Rattus norvegicus: one gene and its partners. The protein of the gene in region 1 purifies or fractionates together with the protein of each later gene. This does not show direct contact. Links are inferred from orthologs where the notes say so. Each region holds a gene or a part of one and is shown on either strand. Other genes may lie near its edges. The genes, in order: Pop1, Pop4, Rpp38, Rpp30, Rpp25 and Pop7.

Region 1 (3,500 bases):
TGAAGATGCATTTGGCTTTTGACTCGGATGGCTTAAGAATACCTGCTAATAGCAGTGGGCAGGGTTTAGGTTTTGAGTTGTTGAAAAGCTGGCTTCAGGGAATTGATTGTGTTTTTAGAATAGGTTTTCTGGTTGCCTGAGATGTTAGATCAGATCCCCTCTGGACCTGGAGTTACAGGCAGTTGTGAACCACCCAAAGTGGGTGCTGGGAATTGAACTTGGGTCCTGTGCAAGAATAGTTTGTGCTCTTAACCTCCGAGCCATCTCCTGTGTTCCTCAATGGGGTTACTGGCTTCTTAGTATTTTTACCCCATAACAGAGCATAGAATATTTAATTATGTTTCTCCTTTGTTCAGGATTTATCATATTACTGTTGTTTGGAGTTGAAGGGCAAAGAGGAAGAAATACTGAAGGCACTTTCTCAAATGTGCAGCATAGACACAGGTAAATTCTAAAGCTGTGTGCTGCTTTAACCTTGTATCTGTTCATTTGTAAATGAATGTCCATTATAAACACTACTAAGCACCTCACAGTTTTAATATGGAAATGTGAGATATTCCCAGTGAGTATGTTAATTTAAGAAAGGTTGAGTTGATATTTAAATCTTTACTAACATTCTCAGGTGTAAAGTGAGCCATTATTCTGTGGAATAAACTGAGACAGAAACAACCTGAAACTCACTAAATCATTGATTTAACAAATATTTCTTGAGACCTTACTCTGTGCCCAGTTTTCTTTTAAGCTGTGGCCAGAACTAAAGCTTCTCTCGGAGACTGACAATTGCTAATAGTATTCTCTCCGGAATAAATAACGCTGTGTGTGAGCACAGCACCTGCAGTTACACTGTTTCATTTGTGTGTGCCAGGACTGACTTTTGCTGCAGTTCACTGCTTGTCTGGGAAGCGGCAAGGGAGCCTCATGCTTTACCGGGCAAATAAGTATCCCAGAGACATGCTTGGGCCGGTTACCTTCATCTGGAAGTCTAGGGAGACCCCAGGGGACGCCTCTGAGGAAAGGCAGCTGTGGATCTGGCTTCACCCAACTCTTAAACTGGTATGTCTTTCTGTTACATTCCATCTAATTACACAGCGAGTGGAGGGCTTTAACCGTACACATGTGGGAGTCTGCTCTTTCCTTCCACTGCGTGGACGCTTATATTCATAATTACCACTGGGAGACAGCATTTTAGACATTTCAGGGTATACAAGTTTGGCTGACAGTTTGATGTTATACTTTTTTTAATGAATCAATTAAAATGTTAGTTTCCATCCATTCCTCCCTCCTTCCCTCCCTCCCTTCCTTCCTTCATTTGTTTCTGAGTGCCTGACTTTCCTGTATTTGCTGTGTAGACCAAACTGGCCTCAAATTCAAAATGATCTGCCTGTTTCTGTCTCCCAAAAACCCATGTGTCGTCATGCCTGACTGATTGTCTATTTTTTTAAAGATATGTTTATTTGTTTTATGTGAGCACACTGTAGCTGTCTCCAGACACACCAGAAGAGGGCATCAGATCTCATTACAGATGGTTGTGACCCACCATGTGGTTGCTGGGATTTGAACTCAGGACCTTTGGAAGAGCATCAGTGCTCTTAACCACTGAGCCATCTCTCCAGCCCCTGATTTTTTTTTTTTATTTAATTTTTTTTATCTAAAACTATTGAGCAAAGAATGGATATACTTAGCTTGACTATAATGATTTGATAAATATGTATGCATTCGGTAATGTTTAGCATAGTGAGCATACCCATCTCTGTCAATATAACTTAGAACACTGCATTTAACTTAAAAAATTTAAGGATTTACTTATTTTCTATTTTATGTGTATGCCCAGTACCCATGGGGGCCAGAAGAGGTGGTTTAACCATTAAGACATATATCTCTTGAGCCCTCTGTGTTTAAATTTTGAAGATTAAATTAAATGTTTACGTACTTCCTTAGGCTGTCCTAGAGGAAATAAAAACAACGTGCCAGTGTTCAGAACCCGTCAAGCCAAGTGTCTGTGTGCCTGCCCCACTCCTGACACCAGCCCAGGAAGACATTCAGGCAGGACTAGCTGATGACAAAATCGGCAAGAAAAGAAAAAGGAGAGATGATGGGGAAAATGCTAGACGAGCGAAGAAGACCATTGGTGACGGGACAGGAGATCCCTGCCAGCCACGGTCGTGGCTCTCTCCCACTACAGGGATCGTAGTCAGGTAGGAGGGGGTTCAGAGTGAGACTGTCCTTGTGACAACACTCGAACGCCACTCCCCCCTCCCCCCTTCCCCTTTGTTTTTTGTTTTGTTTTTTCAATAGAGGGTTTCCCTGCCTGCCTTTTGCACTCACTGCATACACCAGGCTGGCCTCAAACTCAGACTGCCTGCCTCTGCCTCCCAAGTGCCGGAATTAACGGTGTGTGCCACCCTGCCCGGCTTTCTTGTGCTGTGTGCCACTGTGTCTGCTATGACTTGTCCCATTTTCGCCAGTGGTAGAGACACCATGTGTGATGGACGTTTCTGTTTTCTGGTCTTCTCTCAGTGACTTGACCATGGAGATGAACAGGTTCCGGCTGGTCGGACCTCTTTCGCACTGTATCCTGACCTCAGCACTGAGGGCTGCTCCTGTACACAGAGTGAGTAAACGGCAGATTTGTGAGGCCTCACATACGATCTCCTATCCCAGTGGGTTGCGTCGTAGTGAGTATTTCCCAGCTTGTTTTTGCTAATTTTTGTTTTAATCCTTGACTTCTAGAAGATGGAATCTCAGTGGGTGTGGCAGTCAATTGGGTATTTAAGTGCCATCCTCTGCTTGCTTTCTTGATTCTGTAGAAGGTAATCCCTGCTCCCTAGATGGGCAATGGGATATCTCTAAAATCTCTGCTTTTTTATGTCCGTTTCCCCCCTTTCCTTCAGTTTTTGTTTTCTTTTAGTTTGGCTTATCTGACTGATTTCTGGAAAGTTTTGAGCAACATGTCTCATGTGACAGTGTTGACCACTTATGTGACTGAGCGGCCGAGGAACTGATTTGTACCTTTATTTAATTTTAACTAAGGCTCTTGTGACCTGTGTCCTCTCACACCTGCAGTTCTCCCCTCACCTTTGGTCTTTGGCCATGTTGGCCTTCAGGCTCTAGAATGTGCTACTTCCCATTTCTGTCACGACTCACACCTGTTTTCCTTCTGCCTGTTGAGCACCCTGTGTGCTACTCTCGGTTGGGCTAAATGTCCCTCGTTCTTCAGGTTTCAGCCTGTCTCCTGCACTCTGCACTCCATCTGGAACCTTCCCCTGCTCTGGTTATCTTGCTTGCCTGTTGTTTCTGTTGCATCTGCACATTCCTCCGTTTACAGGTACATTCTGCTCTGCATTAACATTTCTTGACATCTGTGGTTCCGGTGGCAGGCAGTGCTGGCCCTGCCCTCTACCTTGTCCCCAGTGCTTAGCACAGTGCCTGGCATACAGAGGTCTTGTATCTGCTCACAAAGGATGGAGTGAAGATTTGAATTCAGAAGGCTTGATTCTAGG
Region 2 (4,108 bases), on another chromosome or scaffold:
TGAAGGATGCTTTCTGGGTTGGATGTAATGAGAGACTGTAAATTCTAATGCTCCAGAAGCTCAGGCAGGAATATTACACTTTCAAGCTCAGCCTACACCACACAGCAAGTGTCTGGGAAACTTGGTCTTAGGAGTGAAAAAAAAAATCAGTTTAAAAAAGCAAACATTCTTAGACCATCAGAGTGCAATTTAATGAGCATAGGAAAGGAAGGAAGGCCAGCCGGAAGGAGGGAAGGAGGGAGGGAGGGAGAGAGAGGAGAGGGGAAGAAGGGAGGGAGGGAGGGAGGGAGGGAGGAAGGAAGGAAGGAAGGAAGGAAGGAAGGAAGGAAGGAAGGAAAGAAAGATGCCTTTTAGACATATAAAAATGTTTAGTCAAGGAACCCCACTACACCAAAGGCAGCACCTGATAATCAGAACCCAGTTTCATCACTCATTCAAGACAACTAGCCAGTCCTAGAACCCCATGCCACCCAGTGGAATTATATAAGCAGACACCAAGAGCAATTGTCTGGAGAGAAGCCACCTTGATCTGCCCTGGGGCTGGAGAGCCACCACCACCACCACCCCACCCCCGTACCCCCTCCCCGAACCCTACTGCCAGGATCCAATCAAAAACTTCTGTTAGAGACTGGGCCTGACCTTCAGCTAAGATAAGTCACACAAGAGGGGTAGCCTTAGGGAGATGATAGGCTTAGGAATGTAGTTAGGAATTTAGGGGGTGAACCTATGTAATGGCCCACAGCATAATAAAATGTAACTTTTGTTATACTAGCTACACTAACTGGACGTATCTACCTGCTTGCTCAAGACATCAAGTAAATCAAGTAAAAGAGACCTTTAAACGAGGTTATAAAGGTATTTAGTAGCAGAAACAGAACTAAATCCCCGGCCACCAGTACAAAATGTGCCTATTAATCTCGGGAGTAAATTCTGGGTCACCCGGGGCCACATTGTGAGCCCCTTGCATAAAAAAAAAAAAAAAAAAAAGTCGTTACCGCCGATATCCCCGGACCACTTGTGCCCTCCCTAGTCCCCGATCTCCCTCACGTCCTTTCTATGTCAGCTTGCCTCGCTATACTTCATTAATCCTGACCCTCGACCCGACCGCTCTCGGCACAGTCGGTTGCAAAGTGAACGACACAGCGAAGACCTGCAAACCTCGCCCCTCCCTCAAGCCACAGAGATAACCCCAAGGCGCATGTGTTGCCAGAGACAGACGCACATAGATGCCATCACGCCGATGACGTCAGAGAGGCGCCTGATCCGAAATTGACGCCGGCTGGAGCAAGTCCGTGCAGTTTGTAAATTGTTTCTTGGGCTTATCGGATTTTTTTCAGGTGGAAACTTAAACTTAAACAAAAAAGCATCCAAGTGGGGGTAAAAACCTCTGAACAAAGCGAAGAAAGGAAAAGAATGCATGAGGCCTGGAGGAGACATCATTAGAGCGCTCCGGAAGCTGGCCGACAATGAAGGGTAAGTGGAATGAGAGGCGCGGAATGGGGCCGAGGTGAGACTATAGAGCACCGGAACCAGAAGTTGGTCTGTGAAATGAGTCAGGGACACTTGTCAGAAGACATCTTCCAGGGAATGGACTCAGTACACAAATCGAGGCCCCAAGTCTGAATCGGCCGACTCAGTCTCTTAGCTAGGAATGGACGTCAGGATCGAGTGTGTGTGTGTCCTCCTCAAGGGCTTCTCAGGGGAACTAGAAGAGGTAGGTCCAAGTCCTTGACGGGACCTAGCCACTACCTTCCCATATAACTTATGTCTAGGGCCTGCTCCCCTCTACTCTCTGGCTTTTCACCCTTGCCCCTGCCCCTGTAAACACTGCTGAGGGGCCGTGTCGCACACCTAAGGCGTTGATATTTGAGCTGAAAAGACCTGCACCCAGAAGGGCAGTTAAGCACTGGAGCAGTATTAGAGTAGAGAGGGGATGCCGTAAAGATTAAGCCTCTGATCGGGCGATTCACACCCCTGTCCGTGCCCTTTTCTCAGAGAGCAAGTTTCTTAGCATGTCTTAGCTACAACCTTACTATGTGCATAACAAGGAGTAACTACTGTTTTAAATTGCTTAGAAAGATTAATGACATTAATATATACATATTATGCATACATATATGTGTGTATATATATATACACACACACATATATATGCACACACACTCACTCAACCAACTGCTCAACCAGCAGTGAGTGTCCCCTACCTGTTGCATGTTGCAGAAAGACTTTCAGTTTTGATGCTAGGCATCTGGGGTCAATACAACAAAGTTCTCCCTGGGGTTCCACTCTCAATAAACAAAAAAAGCACAATCTCAATCCATTGTTCAAGGGAGAACTAGATGCTGTATATAAAACTTGTAAGTGCCTTGGTTTGTTTGCTTGCTCAAGCATGTACTCAGGGAAACAGAGATGGATTTTTGTTTGTTTGTTTGTTTGTTTCTTACTGTTGCTGTTGGGATACAGCCAGCTATGTTCTCCTGGCTGGCCTGGAACTCACTGTGTAAAACCAGCTTGGCCTCTACCTCTCAAGGGATGGGGATGCCACCAAACTTAGCTCAGAAGTGGAATGTATGGAGTATGGTGTGAACTGCATTTTCTGGTCATGAGCCCCATGATGCTTTCCTCCAAACAAATGAGAAACAGGAGGTTTAAAGAGGTTTTGGCGGGGTTGGGGATTTAGCTCAGTAGTAGAGCGCTTGCCTAGGAAGTGCAAGGCCCTGGGTTCGGTCCCCAGCTCCGAAAAAAAAAAAAAGAACAAAAAAAAAAAAAGAGGTTTTGGCATCCTGAAGATGGTATTTAGAATTTGGAAAGAGACTATTGTATCTTATCTGGTCAGGATACATTATAGATTTTAAGGTGTGAAAAAACCTCTTTCAAGCCTCTCCGTAGTCAGCAAAATGTAGTGTTTCAACCATACGCATTAAGATCGCCTCACTTTTAGTGTCTAGACTTACTAGACTTACTGAGCCACTGCCCAAGCGTAATTATAACTCTTGGGTGTTTAAAATCAGATTAACTCTAAATGTGACCCATTGAGGAATTTTTTTGAACATGCAGAGTCGAGTAGGAACCAAAACCCTAAATTTTAATAAGATCTCAGTGATTCTTAAACACATTAAGCTTTGAGGGGTGCTTTTCTAAAAAAACTACATCCTGGGAATTTCTAGGATGAAGTTGGCAAGAGGGAAGGGTAGTGTGGTACATGTGTACCACTATAAGGTCAGTGTGGTGGTACATGTGTATAATCCCAGCTACTAGCACTTGGAAGCCTAAGACAGGACTGGTGTGGGTTGGAGGCCAGCCTAGGATACAAAGCAGACACGTAAGAGGGCTGGGGTCTACGTCCACAGTGAAGCACCTGCTCAGCATACATTACACTCCCCTCACATTAGTCCTCCAGCACTGCAGCATAAAATAAAAGGATCATCTTCTCTGAGTAAGTGTAGTTCTTGTCCTAGTTGGAAAAGCCTTGGCTATTATACTCGTTCCTAACAGGAAGAATCATTTCTCCTTGTTTTTGTCTTTCGTCCCCCAGCTGTGATCTACCATGCCTTTTCTCATAAAGAAGCCAAGGACCACGATGTGCAGGTACAGTCTGTCAGAGGTGACGGCAAAGGAGGCTCGGGATCTTCTAAGGCTGGTGTAACTGTCTTTTCCCATGGATTACGCCTCTCCTTTCCATTCTGTGTACTAGGCCCCATAAAAACCTTTTGTGCTGATGTCTTCATGAGCCAGACTCCTTCCTTAGGCTACCAGAGTCAGCTCTGAGGGACTTGGACTCCTTGATTTCCTGTCATCCCCCTCTCTGTAGGGATGACAGCCTCGCCCACCTGAAACCAGTATCCTGGGCAGTGCTCAGCCCGTTCCATAAGCCGCTGTTAGGAGTTTTGTCTGGGTGTTTCCGGATGCTTTGTCATTTGGGCAGAAGCTTCACCTATGGCTCCTAAAGGGAACATGTCCTTGAAATCAAGACTTCAAAAGGCCCGTTGACCTTCAGTTTTTAATCCCCAATGAAAGAGAGGCCACCTAGTTACAAGATCCGAAGTGTCCTCATGTCACTTGTTGATGAATTGTTGAGCTATCCCTGCTTCAGGCACCTCGAAGGTTA
Region 3 (4,170 bases), on another chromosome or scaffold:
AGGGGCTATTTTTATCATTTCACAGAAGGCTAATTAACTTGCCCGAGGCGTAGGTACACTAGTTAGTGGTAAGGTTAAGGTTTGAACATAGCAGTCTGGCTACCTTTTTACACTTTTTCTCGCTCCTTCTTTCTGCTTTTTTTATGGTGTGTAGGTTCCTGCCCCAGTCTCCCACGCGCCAGGATTTCATGTGAACCTTTAGTATTTCAATTCTATCACCGCGATTTGTCTTCAGCGCACCAGGACTGCGGGTTATAGTAAAGAACGCTTTATGAGACAAAAACCTGTTGGCACACTCAAAACTCGTCCTGACTTCGTTCTTCTTAATCAACTTTTGGTAGAAACCATAGCACACGTTCCCTGTAAAAACTTCAACAATCCTTGACCAAAAGCAACCGCTTTTGTTTTGTTTAAATGTCCAATAAGTGGCGAATGATGAAAATGCAGAAGCTAGACTATAAACGTTAGTTTAAAACGAGCAATGAAGACACCTAGAAGGAAAATAAAGAGAAGGACCCGAATCTCCATCGCCCAGCCTCAATATCAGGATCAAAGGTGAGCCTTTCAGTTCTGGATTGCAGTTCATTCCAGATATAGTCAAGCGGACAACCAGGAATAGCCACTACACCTCCCAACGTCCTGAGAGGTCAGAAAGGAACAACAGCAAAAAATCCTGTCAAGTGTAGCCAACAGAATTTTAATCTTTAGCACGCTATTCCACTGTTTTACTAGTTGTCTGTAACTTTCCAGTGATTTTGTTTCATAAAACACACACACACACACACACACACACACACAGTCTCCATTAGTCAGGAGGCACAACAGATATTGCCGGCATATTCTGGAGTACCGCTGTGGAACTGAACGCAGCCCTTATTCTCCTTTCAGAGGGCCCAAGATTCTCCACATAAATTGTAATTACACGCAACCCTGTTAGCCCTACTACTTATTTGATTTTCGTGGTGGCGCGGCGACGTGGGCAGGGGAATGAATGGGTGGCCATAAGGGCTGGAGCTTTGCGTCCCTAGAACGAAAAGAGACGGCAGGCCAGAGTTCCCAGGCAGAACCAACTTGGCTAAAAACAGCGAGCGGAAAGGAGAGATCCACCTCTCACAAAACCAGACTCCGGGAGCTGCTTGGTACATCAGCATCCTTAGACAACCTGACAGAAGCGCAGAGGCTGGTTACTACAGCAACCACAGACTCTCGCGAGACAGACCGTACGCCTGCGCAGTGCTGCTCCAGAGCTCGGTCCCAGGCTGAGGGATTTTACGCAGGGACCACTCTCGGTAGCCAAACTACGGCTGACGTTCCTTACTAGGAGTGACGTAATGCAGAGCGGCAGGTAGGCGGAGCTCGTGTTCTGCGCACGCGCGCAGCAGGCGCACGTGGAGCGGGCGCCGTGGTCCCCGGTGGTGGCGGAGTTGCCGCCGCAGTGAATCGATCTGTCACGTGGTCTCCGCGGGGCGCTTCTGCACAGGTGGGTGCATGCGAGTCCGTGGTCCGAGTCCCAGCCCGTGGGCACCCGGGTCATCGCGGCGTGGGGTTCATCCAGTGCCCGGTCTCCCTGAGGTTCTTTCCGGCTGGCCTCAGGCGATCCCGGCCTCCTTCCGTCGCGTGGTGTGACGTGAGACATCATTCCCCCGAGACTACGGGAGCATCTCTGCTGCTGACGGCCTATCCAGGGTCTCTTTCCCCAAATCAAGGTCTCTCTGTGACCCATTTCTAATAGCGCCACCCTTCTGAAAGTCTCTCTAGAGTCACCACCATCTTGTCCTTACTCCAACTCTAGCATCTCTGTCCCGAGCGATACTGAACTTTAATACTCTTCTGGGATACCTCGCAGCCCGCTTCCTTCGGAAGGAATTCTTTTAGAAAGCGGTTGTTACGGTCATTTCCTCCAGAGAGACTTCTTTTCCTGACCCTCTCAACTAAGGTCGCTAACTGTCTGTTCCTCAAGGTATGTTCCTCAAGGTACTTCACTACTTTGGCTTTAGAGTGAGCCGTTTTTATTAGTCGCAGAAGCTGTTTGCTCTGCCCCACGCCTAATAACCGGGAGCAAGGATAAGTCCCAAGAATTTGATGGAAAACAAAACATCTGGTGTGTGAGTGCTATACCAGGCACAGTGTACGCTTAATAAGGACATGAGAAACTAAATGTTCAGAACCTGTAATATGGGTGGTGGGTGAAAGCAGAAAGGTTTGAGATGGGTGAGTAAAAAGGTAAACATTTTGAGTTTGCAGTTAGTCCTGTAGGCAGTGGCAGCTTGCAGACATAGTTGGCAAGGCGCTTGAGCAAGAGCAAGCTTTGTGAACCCGTTACCGTTCAGCATTTTAAAAATTCATATTGCATGGCAGTCGCCTTATGTAGACTTGGCTTTTTTCCACCTCCCCTTCTAGGTTCTTGTAAATCAGAGTACATCCCAATCTTGCAGTCCCCTTGGTTGCAGAGCATCTGTGAGTGTGTCCCTCTTACACTGACGGGCTAGGCAACACAGTAACTGACTTGTAGTTTGGCAAGAGCTGCGGTGGGGCTGTTTGTCTTGCTTCCTGGTCATTTCACCTACTGCTAGATGCCAGCTGCTGGTAGTCACCTCACTAGATCTAGATGACCTGTTCTTGAGTCTGAACTTGTGGGAAGTATGCAGCTGTTGGGGCATTGATTGGAGCAGTGCAGTGCGTTGTGAGAAGGAAGCCGCTATTAGCCAATGTCTGTGGCAGTGGGGTAGCATTGACAGAATCAAGATTGCAGCTTTTAGTGGGAGGAATTCTGACTTTATGTGGACGGGGACTAGAAGGATCAGGAGAGGAGTGAGTCTGCAACACCACTTCCTACAGCTGTCCAGTTTGGAAATGCCACCTGTCCCACACCAACCTCCAAACGTTGGGCATCTTTCTACCAGTACCTCTGGTGAAGCTGTACTCCCAGAAATCCCAGCTCAGTAAAGCCATCTGACTGTTCTTAAAAGCCAATCACAGGTTATTTCTAAGATGGAATCATGATTAAAAGTCTTCAGAAAAACTAGCTGTGAGTTGTACAGTGAATCTGCTTCCTAATCCACACTGGCAAACTCTTGTGTTTTAGGACTGGATGTGTGGAGAAAGCGCCCTGAGTTAGAGGAACCTTAATCAGAGGGGACTTATTTTGTCAACTGGGTCTTTATAGTTCTCAGATGAACTCTAGGAAGGAGACAACAACTGAGAGGAGTACACATGCATATTATTTATGTATACATATATATTATATATAATATCTACCTACATACTTAGTTGCCTTTGGGAAGAATAAACAGGATCTAAATGAATGGATGCCTGACAAGGAGCAGTTGAGAACATCCTAACTTGTTTGTGAGGTTAATATGATATAGTCACTAGGAAGAACAAATAGGCCAGTGGGTTTGTGGGGTTTTTTTTGTTTTGTTTTGTTTTTTCTTTTAGGAGCTCAGCCCATTTATTTCTCCCTAATGAGTTACTCTCAGAATTTCACCACAAATTTCTCCTATTTTTCATGAAATTGTCAGCCAAAGCAGGAATTTTATGATCACATGAGAGGGGAAATAAACCTGTATGTTTAAAATGTTTTAGGAACTTGGGGATCATGAGAGGAGGGAGACTTACAAAGTTTTAGCCATGGAGATAGATCATTACTATTTTGGTTCTTAAAATCCGACCTAGTTCTTTATGAACTTGAGAGAGTCCAGAAGAGAAGTTCTGTGTGAGCAGTTGCAGGGAATTCAGAGCCCACCAGCAGCTGTGTCTGGAACACCATCTGCCCACTGCAGTAAACGTGCTTATAAATGAATGAATGGGGGGTTGGGGATTTAGCTCAGTGGTAGAGCGCTTGCCTAGGAAGCGCAAGGCCCTGGGTTCGGTCCCCAGCTCCGAAAAAAAGAACCAAAAAAAAAAAAAAAAAAAAAAAAGACGAGAATATACCCAAAATATTCTCAAAAATGCACTGCCAACATGACTTTTATCATTTTTGCTTCTTTCCAAAGGGTTTTCAAGATGGCTGCAGCTCCTCAGGCACCAAAGAGGGGATCTATTCGGAAGACTAGACCTCTGGTTGTAAAGACATCACTGAACAACCCCTATGTCATTTCCTGGAGCAGCTTGGAGAGAGAAGACATGCACTTTATCCTACAGACGCTGGAGGACAAGTTTAAGTCGATC
Region 4 (3,173 bases), on another chromosome or scaffold:
TCCTGGAAGAAATGCAAGCCAGAGAATTAGAAGTGGGAAAGACGTAGGAAAATGTAAAAGCTTCTAGCGTTAAGACCACAGGACATACGGAAGACAGGTAGGGGTGGAGCAGGGAAGAGGAAGAAACGTCAAGGAAGAACAGGAGCCTTCGCTGGAGAGCTCTAGGTGACTTCAGGTCTACGACATCAGTCCCTCCACTCCCGGGACTGAGCAGTGAGCTGCATAGAAGCTGGCCTACAGGGGGTTGGGGATTTAGCTCAGTGGTAGAGCGCTTGCCTAGGAAGCGCAAGGCCCTGGGTTCGGTCCCCAGCTCCGAAAAAAAGAACCAAAAAAAAAAAAAAAAAAAAAAAAAAAAAAGAAGAAGCTGGCCTACAGAGACTGACACTGTCCTGCGTGGACAGGGCCAGCTATCCTCCTGCACTTATTCAGGATCCACTGTAACCTACATGACTTCAGCAATTCCTGTCTGATCCTTGCCTCCATACTAAAGCCCCTCACATGTTTCCCCTGGCTTTCAATGAACCTTAAACAGAGCTAGACAACATGGGGACGGGTCCGTGAGTCTCAGCCACAGTGTTTTTCTAAGTAACACCATTCTTCACACATAGCATTGTTAGCCATGGCGGTCATTGTTCAGTTATGCAACTACATGTAGTAGGTGACATAGCTGTGAGGGTCCTCGCTCTTGTTCCTCAGGCCCTTCAGGTCTTCATCTCCTTTTCCTTCATTGGGGGTCAAGTTGCTTGGCTGTCTGTTGGCTCAGTTTCCCTACATATGGGAACATCCTTTTCTTTGGACCGTGTGAGTAGCGGCTTTGCGCCTCCTCCCCACACAAGCGTTGCTGTCTTCCCCCTCTGCAGTTCCTGTTTATATTGGTAGGCCCCACAGCTGACTAAGCTCTGTCATAGCCTCGTGTCTGTCTTTCTCACACAGATGGGGTGCAGAGTTGTGGGTCTGCCTTTCTTTAAGCCAGGCCCTTCCCGTGCAGGAGACATGCATAGAGGGGAGAGAGGAGGTGGAGACAGACTGCAGGGGAAGTAGTTAACATACTTGTCTTTGACAGTTTACACTTTGTCTTCTCTATCTCTGGGAAAGGCGATCGAGCGAGGCCTGGGCTTTGAGCTGGTCTATGGTCCTGCTATCAGAGACGCAACCATGAGAAGGTACACAATCTCCAATGCCCTCAATCTGATGCAGATCTGCAAAGGAAAGGTATAGTTCCTGCGCCCAGGGTGCTTTCTGCCAATGGCGGTTTAGTAGTGTGTCCATGCTGTCAACTGACTCCTGGCCTTAAGCAGAAAATTCTCAGGACACTAGATTCTTCGATTTCAAGGAGCTTTGCAAGAGTTTGTAAAAACTCCCCAGGGAGGAGTAAGATACGGAAGAAAGATGTGCCAAAAGCCCCTGGTTTTGATAAGGGATTTGTAGTTTGCCACAATGAAAAGTTAGTAGTTGATTATCGCTGAGTGAGTTAAAGTTACAGCTTCTAATTCATCTGCACTAAGATGTATTCACAAAGTTTATTCTGCTTTTATTATTGGCAGCCTTGAGTGTGACATGAGAGCTTTTAATGGTTTCCCACTAATTACCTACCTTATCTTTAAAAAAAAAAAAAACGAAAGTATTTTAGTCTTAAATGTTAAAACGGGATTGCTGGTCATTTGTTCTATACAGTTCTTCAATTATTTTATTAATTATCTAAGATTAATATTGCTCACTCTCTGTTTTATAGAACGTAATTCTGTCCAGTGCTGCAGAAAGGGTAAGCATAGCATGGAATACCTTGTCTCCGTGGTTAAAACGTCACTGTGCTCTCAGGACAACTGACGGACTGCCAGTCTGTGCTTTTAACTGATTTGCCATGGTGATTGCTAAGTATATCCCGTTCATGCGGCCTTCAGGTTGGGCCTGTGTATGTTTATATTAGGAAATAACTAGAAAACAGTGGTTTTACTTCTCCCTTTACCTTGTTAACAACGCCTTTATATGGTTTGTTATTTATTTTTAGAAAATTATCACAATTATAAGGATCTTAATTTATGAAATTTACTTATCTTTGGATACTGAGTTGTACTTACTTATTGTAAATAATTAAAATGTTAATAACATCTCGTTCTATTTTCTGTTTTCCTTATGTCAGCCTTTGGAAATAAGAGGACCATATGACGTGGCCAACTTGTATCCTCTGTGTTCTGTTTAAACATGTGTTCCTATTGGGTGTTGATCAGAAGACAAGTTCAGGAGTTCGGTCTCTCCTTCCATCCTGTGGGTCTTAGGCATCCGTCCTAGGCCACAGGGTTGGCAGCAGGCACCCTTACCTTCTGCCATCACATTGAGCTAGAATTTTCCCTTAGAAAATGTAATCAAAAGTGCTGTTAGAGTTAGCCTGATGTTCCTTATCCTTTGGTTGGAAATTTCCTGATCAGCTGCCTCACAAGCCAATTACAACCAGTTGTAGACTTCTTTATCCTTTCCTGGTTTTCTTTGTTTGTTTGTTTGTTTGTTTGTTTTCTTTTTTTCGGAGCTGGGGACCGAACCCAGGGCCTTGCGCTTGCTAGGCAAGCGCTCTACCACTGAGCTAAATCCCCAACCCCCCTTTCCTGGTTTTCTGATTAAGCAGAAGAAAAGAGAGGCGAGGGACTATGCAGGATGAAAACAGTTAAATGAGGCTTCTCAGGTGCAGTCTCAGTCGGGCTAAGACCTGCTGTAGAGTTAGTCTGTCTGCCACTGTGGCCAGGTGAGCTGTCCTCTGTTTGTGTTCGTGTTGTCTCCTACCCTTTGGCTGACTGGGTTGAAGTCCTTACTGACCCTGTCAGAGGGCTGCTGTTCGGGCTGTCCGAAAATGAAGGCAAGGCTGCCGTGTCCACAAACTGCCGAGCTGCATTTCTCCATGGAGGTGAGCATATTCATATCGTAGGGTCCCAGAGGCAGGTCATCGTCAATAATTGACGTATGTGTGCCCGTTACCCTTCCTACAGAGTTCCCATAAGGAACCAGTTCTAACCAGTTCTAACCAAACGCTGGTCCCTCCCCTCACTTCAGGCTTTACTTTCTGTAGTGTGCGTTATATGTCGTTATATGTCGTTTGCCTTACAGAAGTGACTCCACAGTGTCCTCTGCCCACATTCTCAGAGGCCTTTGACTCCCTCCTGCTTCTCACTGGATGGTCTCTC
Region 5 (3,301 bases), on another chromosome or scaffold:
GACAGAGTCCCAGTTCCAGCCACACTCCTGGAGTGTGAGCAAGAGATTGGAGTCAGTCACTCACACTTGAGGCAAAAAAAAAAGTCCAGGTGCTGCAGCCACACTCCAAGAAGAGATGAGATATAAGGCCAGTGTTCTGAGCCGCGGGGCTGAGAATTGTCACAGACAGCAAAGAGGAAGAGGAGGGCCGGGTAGCTCTACTCCTAGACTGAAGCTATGTTCATCCAGATACCATCTTGCTGATACTTTGGAGAACACAGTTCCTTACAGTCCTTAGTGCTTCTTCCTTCCCTGTGCTTTAACAGGTCTGTCTGACTCCCTGCCTTTCGTGGAAGCCGGTTGAAGACTGAGGACATGGTCCCAGGGGAGGATTAGATAGGGTCACTCTTTATTAAACCGTCTTCCTTTCATCAGCCCTTGGCCCCTAGCCTCATCTTTCTACGCTCATCTCACCTCCCAGCAGAGCCCGAGCCTCTCCTTAGATTCTGTGGAGTTTCCAGAGTTTGCAAGTACTCCCACCCCCAACATTCCACCAAGGCACTCCACCCTGCCTCCCACCTCTTAAAACCTGCCTTCTCTCCGTTTAACAAAAACAATCCTCTGGATTTCTAGAGGCCAAGGCTGACTGGCAAGGAATTCCACCTGGAATTGGAAGTCAGAAATCCGCGTTAGCACGGGCTGAGCCACGCACTTAAAAATACACGCAGCTCTGGTAACGGACTTTCAGGCATAAATGTTAGAATTTAACGCCTTGGAAGAAATGGTCCCCTGTTCCCCATTCACTTTAGGCAGGCCCAACGCATCACTTCCCACATTTCAGAGATGTATAGGTGCCGGGAGCCTGGAGGTATGATCAAGAGGAGCAAAGCTGAAACTTAAGTCATTCCAAGCAGCTACTGAAAGACCAAGCCACGACGTAGCGGTCCCAGCCCAGGGAAGGCGCTGCGTGCAGCCGCAGCCAACGCCTCCCACACTCTGCTGACCATGCACTGGCTGTCCTTGACGCAAGAATATATAGAGAGAAAGGGAGGGAGGTCCCTGGAGGGCTGGAGAAGCGAAGCCCCAAGAGGTGGTTTGGAAATCTCTTACCTAGGAGGGGTCTAGGGATGCCCTTGAGCTGGAACTCGCAAGGCTTAGGGACTAGGCTTGAATCGGCGTTTGCACCTCAAGCATAGTTTTTATTTAGGTTGTTCCTGCAAGAGGGCTGGTTCAGGGAGGACAGATGGTGACTTCGGGGAACTTCACCTCCCAAACCACCCCTGCTCAGCCGCTGAGCACCAGCGCTGGATCCCAAAGGCTGGCGGGGCTGGGACTAGACACGCAGAGTTGGGGCGGGGCCTGGACTAAGGGGCAGGGCCTATCCCGCTCCCAGGCGGAGCTTCTGCTAAAGGCGCGGAGCACAAGGCTCCGAGGGCGCAGAGTAGAACAGCACTACCCTGTAGAAGTCTGGGCTGAAGACTCCGCGTTCCCTGCTCACCCTCCAGCTTTCACTCGGTGCCAGCATCCCAATTCCTGCCGGCCCTCGCCCGGCACGACCCGCGGCCATGCAGCCCCGGGCTTGAGGCGGCCCCATGGCAAAACCTGCGATCCCAGCGACGACGGCGCATGGAGAACTTCCGTAAGGTGCGCTCGGAGGAGGCGCCGGCGGGGGACGGTGATGAGGGTGGCAGCCCGAGCTCTGGCCCTTTTGCAGATCTGGCGCCTGGTGCTGTACACATGCGGGTCAAGGAGGGCAGCAAGATCCGCAACCTGCTGGCCTTCGCCACCGCTAGCATGGCGCAGCCAGCCACGCGCGCCATCGTCTTCAGCGGCTGCGGCCGGGCCACCACCAAGACCGTCACGTGCGCCGAGATTCTCAAGCGCCGCCTGGCGGGCTTACACCAGGTCACGCGGCTGCGCTACAGGAGCGTGCGCGAGGTGTGGCAGAGCCTCCCGCCTGGGCCCACACCGGGTCAGACGCCCAGCGATCCGGCCGCCAGTCTCAGTGTACTTAAGAATGTACCGAGCCTCGCCATCCTACTTTCAAAGGACGCACTGGATCCACGACAGCTTGGCTACCAGCCCCCGAACCTCAGTCCTGGTCCTTCGTCCCCTCCTACCGTGTCGACGTCCAAGAGGAGCCTGGGGGAATCTGCAGCTGGAGAAGGCACAGCTAAGCGGTCTCAGCCTGAGCCAGAGGCTGAGAATGAGGACCGGACTGCCTGAGAATTCTCGCCTCTGAACCACCTAGACTGGATCTTATATCTTCAACACACCTACATCCACATGCACCCTTCCTACCTGGGTTTTAAGGGGCCCATGTTCCTGAATATTGGTCCTCAAAATGACAACGCGGATCCCAAGGCGACAGGAGAGGGAGCTCAAGAATTACAAGAGAGGATTCTTGAAGTCCGAGGAAAACTTTGTGGGACATGTTGCCAGAAGCCACAGAACACCACCCACACCTTTTCTAGGCCATCTTTTTTAGGGAAGCCTGGTGGGTAGTGGGACTCTTGAGCTTTCTTGGGGACCCAGACGTTAAAAGCACCCAGTGTGCATGGAGGCTGACAGTTGAGGCTTTAAAAACCGTCCTTGTTGTTAACTGAGAGCAGGAGCTGTGAAGCTGTTTCCTTGAGGGTGACCAAGTTGAAAATGTCTGGACCCTGTTCTGCCCACCCACACCCTAGCATATTCCTTTTAGCTTCCCCCCACCCTCACCCCTGTTGCATGGTGGCAGAGACGGGACCCAGGAGGAAACTTGCCATGCTTCCTCCCCTGAGTCCTGCTGGAGTATTGCTTCCAATAAAACAAACATGAAAATGGCTCCGTCCCCAGTTTTGTCTCTTTTTTTTCCCTTACCCGCTCGCCTGTGCAGAGCCCACTTTGGCATGCTTGCCTTCAGCCCTATTAGCCTTTGGAGTCTTCAAGGTCAGACGCAGACGGGGCAGCGTCAAAAATGTCGAAAGAGGGACTTGTGGTGGAGGGGGTTGGAGGTCTGTGTCCCTGTTGTATCCCCACAAGGGAAAGGAAGCAGTGTTGCTGCTTTTCTGGGAGGGGAAGGAGGGGGAGCCTTGACGAGCTGGAAGCGGCAGCCTGCCAAGGCTGGCCAACCATGCTAAGGTTCTAACCTTGCACCCTCCTCCCAGTAGCCATTCTTACCCAGAGGCAGGCACAAAGCCCCAGGAGCAGGGGCTCCCCTTCGCTGCCCTCTCTCTGCAAAAGGACAGCACACCCTTGGGAGAGGGGGAGGGAGAGAGACAGCACAAATCCACTGCTGGAAATTACTATTCAGCAGAGAAGCTTGGGCTGTGAATCACTGCAG
Region 6 (2,699 bases), on another chromosome or scaffold:
TTGCTGAGATGACTATGAGTCCAACAACAATACAAAATTATTAAATTCAGTCTATTTATTTGCCACAAGTTTTAGGATAAACACATTAATATGGTGCAGTCATGCACACCTGCAACACTAGCAGGCCAAGGCAGGAGCATGAGTTTTAGGTTAGCCTGAGCTACATAGTTAAACCCTATCCTCCCCACCACAAAAAAGATATTTTGGTTTATATGTGCAACTCTTCCTGAGGTTCCCCTAAAATGTTCATTAAATATATAGATCAACTTGGAGCGAACTAAGGTCTAAAATGTTAAACCTTCCACTTTAACCGAAATCCCAAGAGTTATGGGTTGTAGCTCAGTTGAGTGAGTGCTCGATAATCTTGACACTCACAAGGTGGAGGCAGGGGAATCAACTTCAAGGTTGGCTATACAGCAGGGTGCACAGTTCTCTTTCCAGCCTTCAATCAGATTCTACCTACGTAAGTGGTCTGGAGCTATAGGACGAGGTCCTAAATACAGGTCTCACTCACATCTGCAGGGAACTGTCCAAAGGCTTTAACAATCTGGGCAGAGATCCAGTCCTCACTAACTTTAAGGGGTTAGGAACCCAAGTACTGCAGTTCTTGTCCCTTCCACCAGGGAGCGGCTGGTCATGATTGCCGGTCATGGAGGAGCAGCTTGAGTGCGGCGGGAGAAGACAGTTAAGAGGTGTGGCGGGAAGCTGCAAACGCTTGGCACCTAATGTGGGTCCCTTGCAGAGGGAGGAGCCCATTGTGGACATCCGGCCTTAACTCGATCCCTTCGATTTGTCGGCTTCCGGATCTCCCAGGACCTCGGGCGGGAGGTCAGCTGTCAATTCCACTGCTCTGAAGTGATTACAGACTTCCGGCCCCTGGGCGATCCCAGCTCCAAGGCTGACCCCGGGCTGAAGTTCCGAACCCTTTCTACCAACCCTGCTTCCCGCCTAGATCCATGAGTCCCGCCCCTCCAGGGGAGGGGAAAACTGGGTGATCCACACCACGCCTCTCTTGGGCCCGCCTCTGTCAATAAATCCCGCCTCTGCTAGCTAGTCCCGCCCTTCCAAGCGCTCAAGAATAGAACGCTTCGAATTCACAAATCTCGCGAGACTTAATTCCCTCGCACACGCGCACGAGAAAAGGGGCGGAGAGAACGGAGGCCCAGAAGGCCACAAGCTTATGGATTCCGGCTTGGAGCGGGGACACGCGTGCGCAGTGTGTAGCCCTTGCTGAAGAGACTGCCTGGCGTTCCTGTTCGGATTCTTTATTCTGCATATCGTGGGCAGCGGGGTCCACTTGGATCGGTCGGCGAGGTTCACACGAGTGAAGGGCACTGTGGAGGGAAGAAGGTAGGCGTGGAAACGCCGGGAATGGGAGCCACGTGATGAATGAATTAAAACTGGGAGTGGAGAAAGCGGAAGTGGAAGGGATTGAGACGCTAGGAAGGAAGAGGGCGTTGAGGGCGCCCCCTTCTGGTTGCACCCTTAGAAAGCTGGGCAGAAAAGGATTCTGTCATTCTTCCTGAATCTCGTTCCTTCTCCATGCCAGGACTTAGAGCATGGCAGAAAACAGAGAACCCCGCGGTGCCATCGAGGCTGAGCTGGACCCCGTGGAGTACACCCTTCGGAAACGACTTCCCCACCGCTTGCCGCGGAGGCCCAATGATATTTATGTCAACATGAAGACTGATTTTAAGGCTCAGCTAGCTCGCTGCCAAAAGCTGCTGGACGGAGGCACTAGGGGGCAGAACGCATGCACTGAAATCTACATTCATGGCTTGGGCCTGGCCATCAACCGTGCCATCAACATCGCCCTGCAGCTGCAGGCAGGCAGCTTTGGGTCCCTACAGGTGGCTGCTAATACCTCCACGGTGGAGCTGGTGGATGAGTTGGAGCCAGAGACTGACTCTCGAGAGCCACTGACTAGGATCAGGAACAACTCAGCCATCCACATCCGAGTCTTCAGGGTCACGCCCAAGTAACTGAAATCAAGCTGACTTTTCATCCACCAAGTCCTTTGTGCACACACATCCAGGCTTCATGTGGTTGAGGTTTCTAGGGGTTCGTATGGCTCTTGTTCTGAGTTCTGTCATGGACCGCTTCTCAGAGCTTGTTATCTCAGCGTAGAGAACTGGAAACGGAGAGCCCGAGAAGCGAATCTTCCTTGTCCCATATAATAAAATGTTAAGTTGTGTTGGTACCGGGCTTCGAATGGTCTCTTCTTCCTAGTGTGCTTGAATAGGGATGGTTCTTCCTGTGTGTACTTGAATGGGGTAGGAAACTTTGCAAATATTTAGGCCACAGGAAAGGAACCCACCTTAGACCACAATATGACAAATAAGGAGTTTGTTGAGTGTAACACAGAAGCTTAACTTGTTACAGTGTGCACTCAGGAAGGTTAGAGAGCAGACTCACCTACTGAGCCAGCTCCAGCTGGTTTGTCTCAGGCTCTCATAGTTACCAGGCTTGGGAAAAGAGAAGTTTTCAAGGTGAAGGACTGTGGATCTAATTCAGCGAGGAAATTGTGTTACCTAGTTGCCTAGCATCAATTTAGGCCCCAGGTTCGATCCCTAGGAACCCCAAGAATTATGACGGGGGAGGATTGGGGAGATGGCTCAATAGGAAAGGCACTTACTTGTCAAACAACCATGAGTATTTGATACCCAGAACTCATTTTATTCTAGGCACTGTAGCACGTG

Evidence for each region.
Region 2: the proteins of Pop1 (region 1) and Pop4 purify together in Homo sapiens (affinity purification with mass spectrometry; 5 studies listed by BioGRID and IntAct, counting the BioPlex papers as one, with this or other methods). This does not show direct contact. The link is inferred for Rattus norvegicus from reciprocal best matches to the Homo sapiens genes POP1 and POP4.
Region 3: the proteins of Pop1 (region 1) and Rpp38 purify together in Homo sapiens (affinity purification with mass spectrometry; 3 studies listed by BioGRID and IntAct, with this or other methods). This does not show direct contact. The link is inferred for Rattus norvegicus from reciprocal best matches to the Homo sapiens genes POP1 and RPP38.
Region 4: the proteins of Pop1 (region 1) and Rpp30 purify together in Homo sapiens (affinity purification with mass spectrometry; 5 studies listed by BioGRID and IntAct, counting the BioPlex papers as one, with this or other methods). This does not show direct contact. The link is inferred for Rattus norvegicus from reciprocal best matches to the Homo sapiens genes POP1 and RPP30.
Region 5: the proteins of Pop1 (region 1) and Rpp25 purify together in Homo sapiens (affinity purification with mass spectrometry; 3 studies listed by BioGRID and IntAct, counting the BioPlex papers as one, with this or other methods). This does not show direct contact. The link is inferred for Rattus norvegicus from reciprocal best matches to the Homo sapiens genes POP1 and RPP25.
Region 6: the proteins of Pop1 (region 1) and Pop7 purify together in Homo sapiens (affinity purification with mass spectrometry; 3 studies listed by BioGRID and IntAct, with this or other methods). This does not show direct contact. The link is inferred for Rattus norvegicus from reciprocal best matches to the Homo sapiens genes POP1 and POP7.

What each region holds. Positions count from the first base shown.
Region 1 is NC_086025.1:67,600,541-67,604,040, forward strand, and holds part of Pop1 (ribonucleases P/MRP protein subunit POP1), read left to right. Parts: intron 1-356; coding exon 357-444; intron 445-865; coding exon 866-1,053; intron 1,054-1,938; coding exon 1,939-2,195; intron 2,196-2,517; coding exon 2,518-2,611; intron 2,612-3,500. UniProt on the Homo sapiens protein: Component of ribonuclease P, a ribonucleoprotein complex that generates mature tRNA molecules by cleaving their 5'-ends. Also a component of the MRP ribonuclease complex, which cleaves pre-rRNA sequences.
Region 2 is NC_086019.1:100,102,257-100,106,364, reverse strand, and holds the start of Pop4 (ribonuclease P protein subunit p29), read left to right. Parts: upstream 1-1,308; 5' UTR 1,309-1,466; coding exon 1,467-1,473; intron 1,474-3,535; coding exon 3,536-3,588; intron 3,589-4,108. UniProt on the Homo sapiens protein: Component of ribonuclease P, a ribonucleoprotein complex that generates mature tRNA molecules by cleaving their 5'-ends.
Region 3 is NC_086035.1:79,821,998-79,826,167, forward strand, and holds the start of Rpp38 (ribonuclease P protein subunit p38), read left to right. Parts: upstream 1-1,370; 5' UTR 1,371-1,480; intron 1,481-1,792; 5' UTR 1,793-1,960; intron 1,961-3,995; 5' UTR 3,996-4,005; coding exon 4,006-4,170. UniProt on the Homo sapiens protein: Component of ribonuclease P, a ribonucleoprotein complex that generates mature tRNA molecules by cleaving their 5'-ends. Also a component of the MRP ribonuclease complex, which cleaves pre-rRNA sequences.
Region 4 is NC_086019.1:243,215,713-243,218,885, forward strand, and holds part of Rpp30 (ribonuclease P protein subunit p30), read left to right. Parts: exon of another isoform or gene 1-639; coding exon of another isoform or gene 640-801; intron 802-1,050; exon of another isoform or gene 1,051-1,095; coding exon 1,096-1,212; intron 1,213-1,732; coding exon 1,733-1,762; intron 1,763-2,140; coding exon 2,141-2,178; intron 2,179-2,816; coding exon 2,817-2,896; intron 2,897-3,173. UniProt on the Homo sapiens protein: Component of ribonuclease P, a ribonucleoprotein complex that generates mature tRNA molecules by cleaving their 5'-ends. Also a component of the MRP ribonuclease complex, which cleaves pre-rRNA sequences.
Region 5 is NC_086026.1:66,801,842-66,805,142, forward strand, and holds Rpp25 (ribonuclease P protein subunit p25), read left to right. Parts: upstream 1-1,420; 5' UTR 1,421-1,605; coding exon 1,606-2,205; 3' UTR 2,206-2,801; downstream 2,802-3,301. UniProt on the Homo sapiens protein: Component of ribonuclease P, a ribonucleoprotein complex that generates mature tRNA molecules by cleaving their 5'-ends. Also a component of the MRP ribonuclease complex, which cleaves pre-rRNA sequences.
Region 6 is NC_086030.1:24,825,004-24,827,702, forward strand, and holds Pop7 (ribonuclease P protein subunit p20), read left to right. Parts: upstream 1-1,157; 5' UTR 1,158-1,350; intron 1,351-1,549; 5' UTR 1,550-1,559; coding exon 1,560-1,982; 3' UTR 1,983-2,199; downstream 2,200-2,699. UniProt on the Homo sapiens protein: Component of ribonuclease P, a ribonucleoprotein complex that generates mature tRNA molecules by cleaving their 5'-ends. Also a component of the MRP ribonuclease complex, which cleaves pre-rRNA sequences.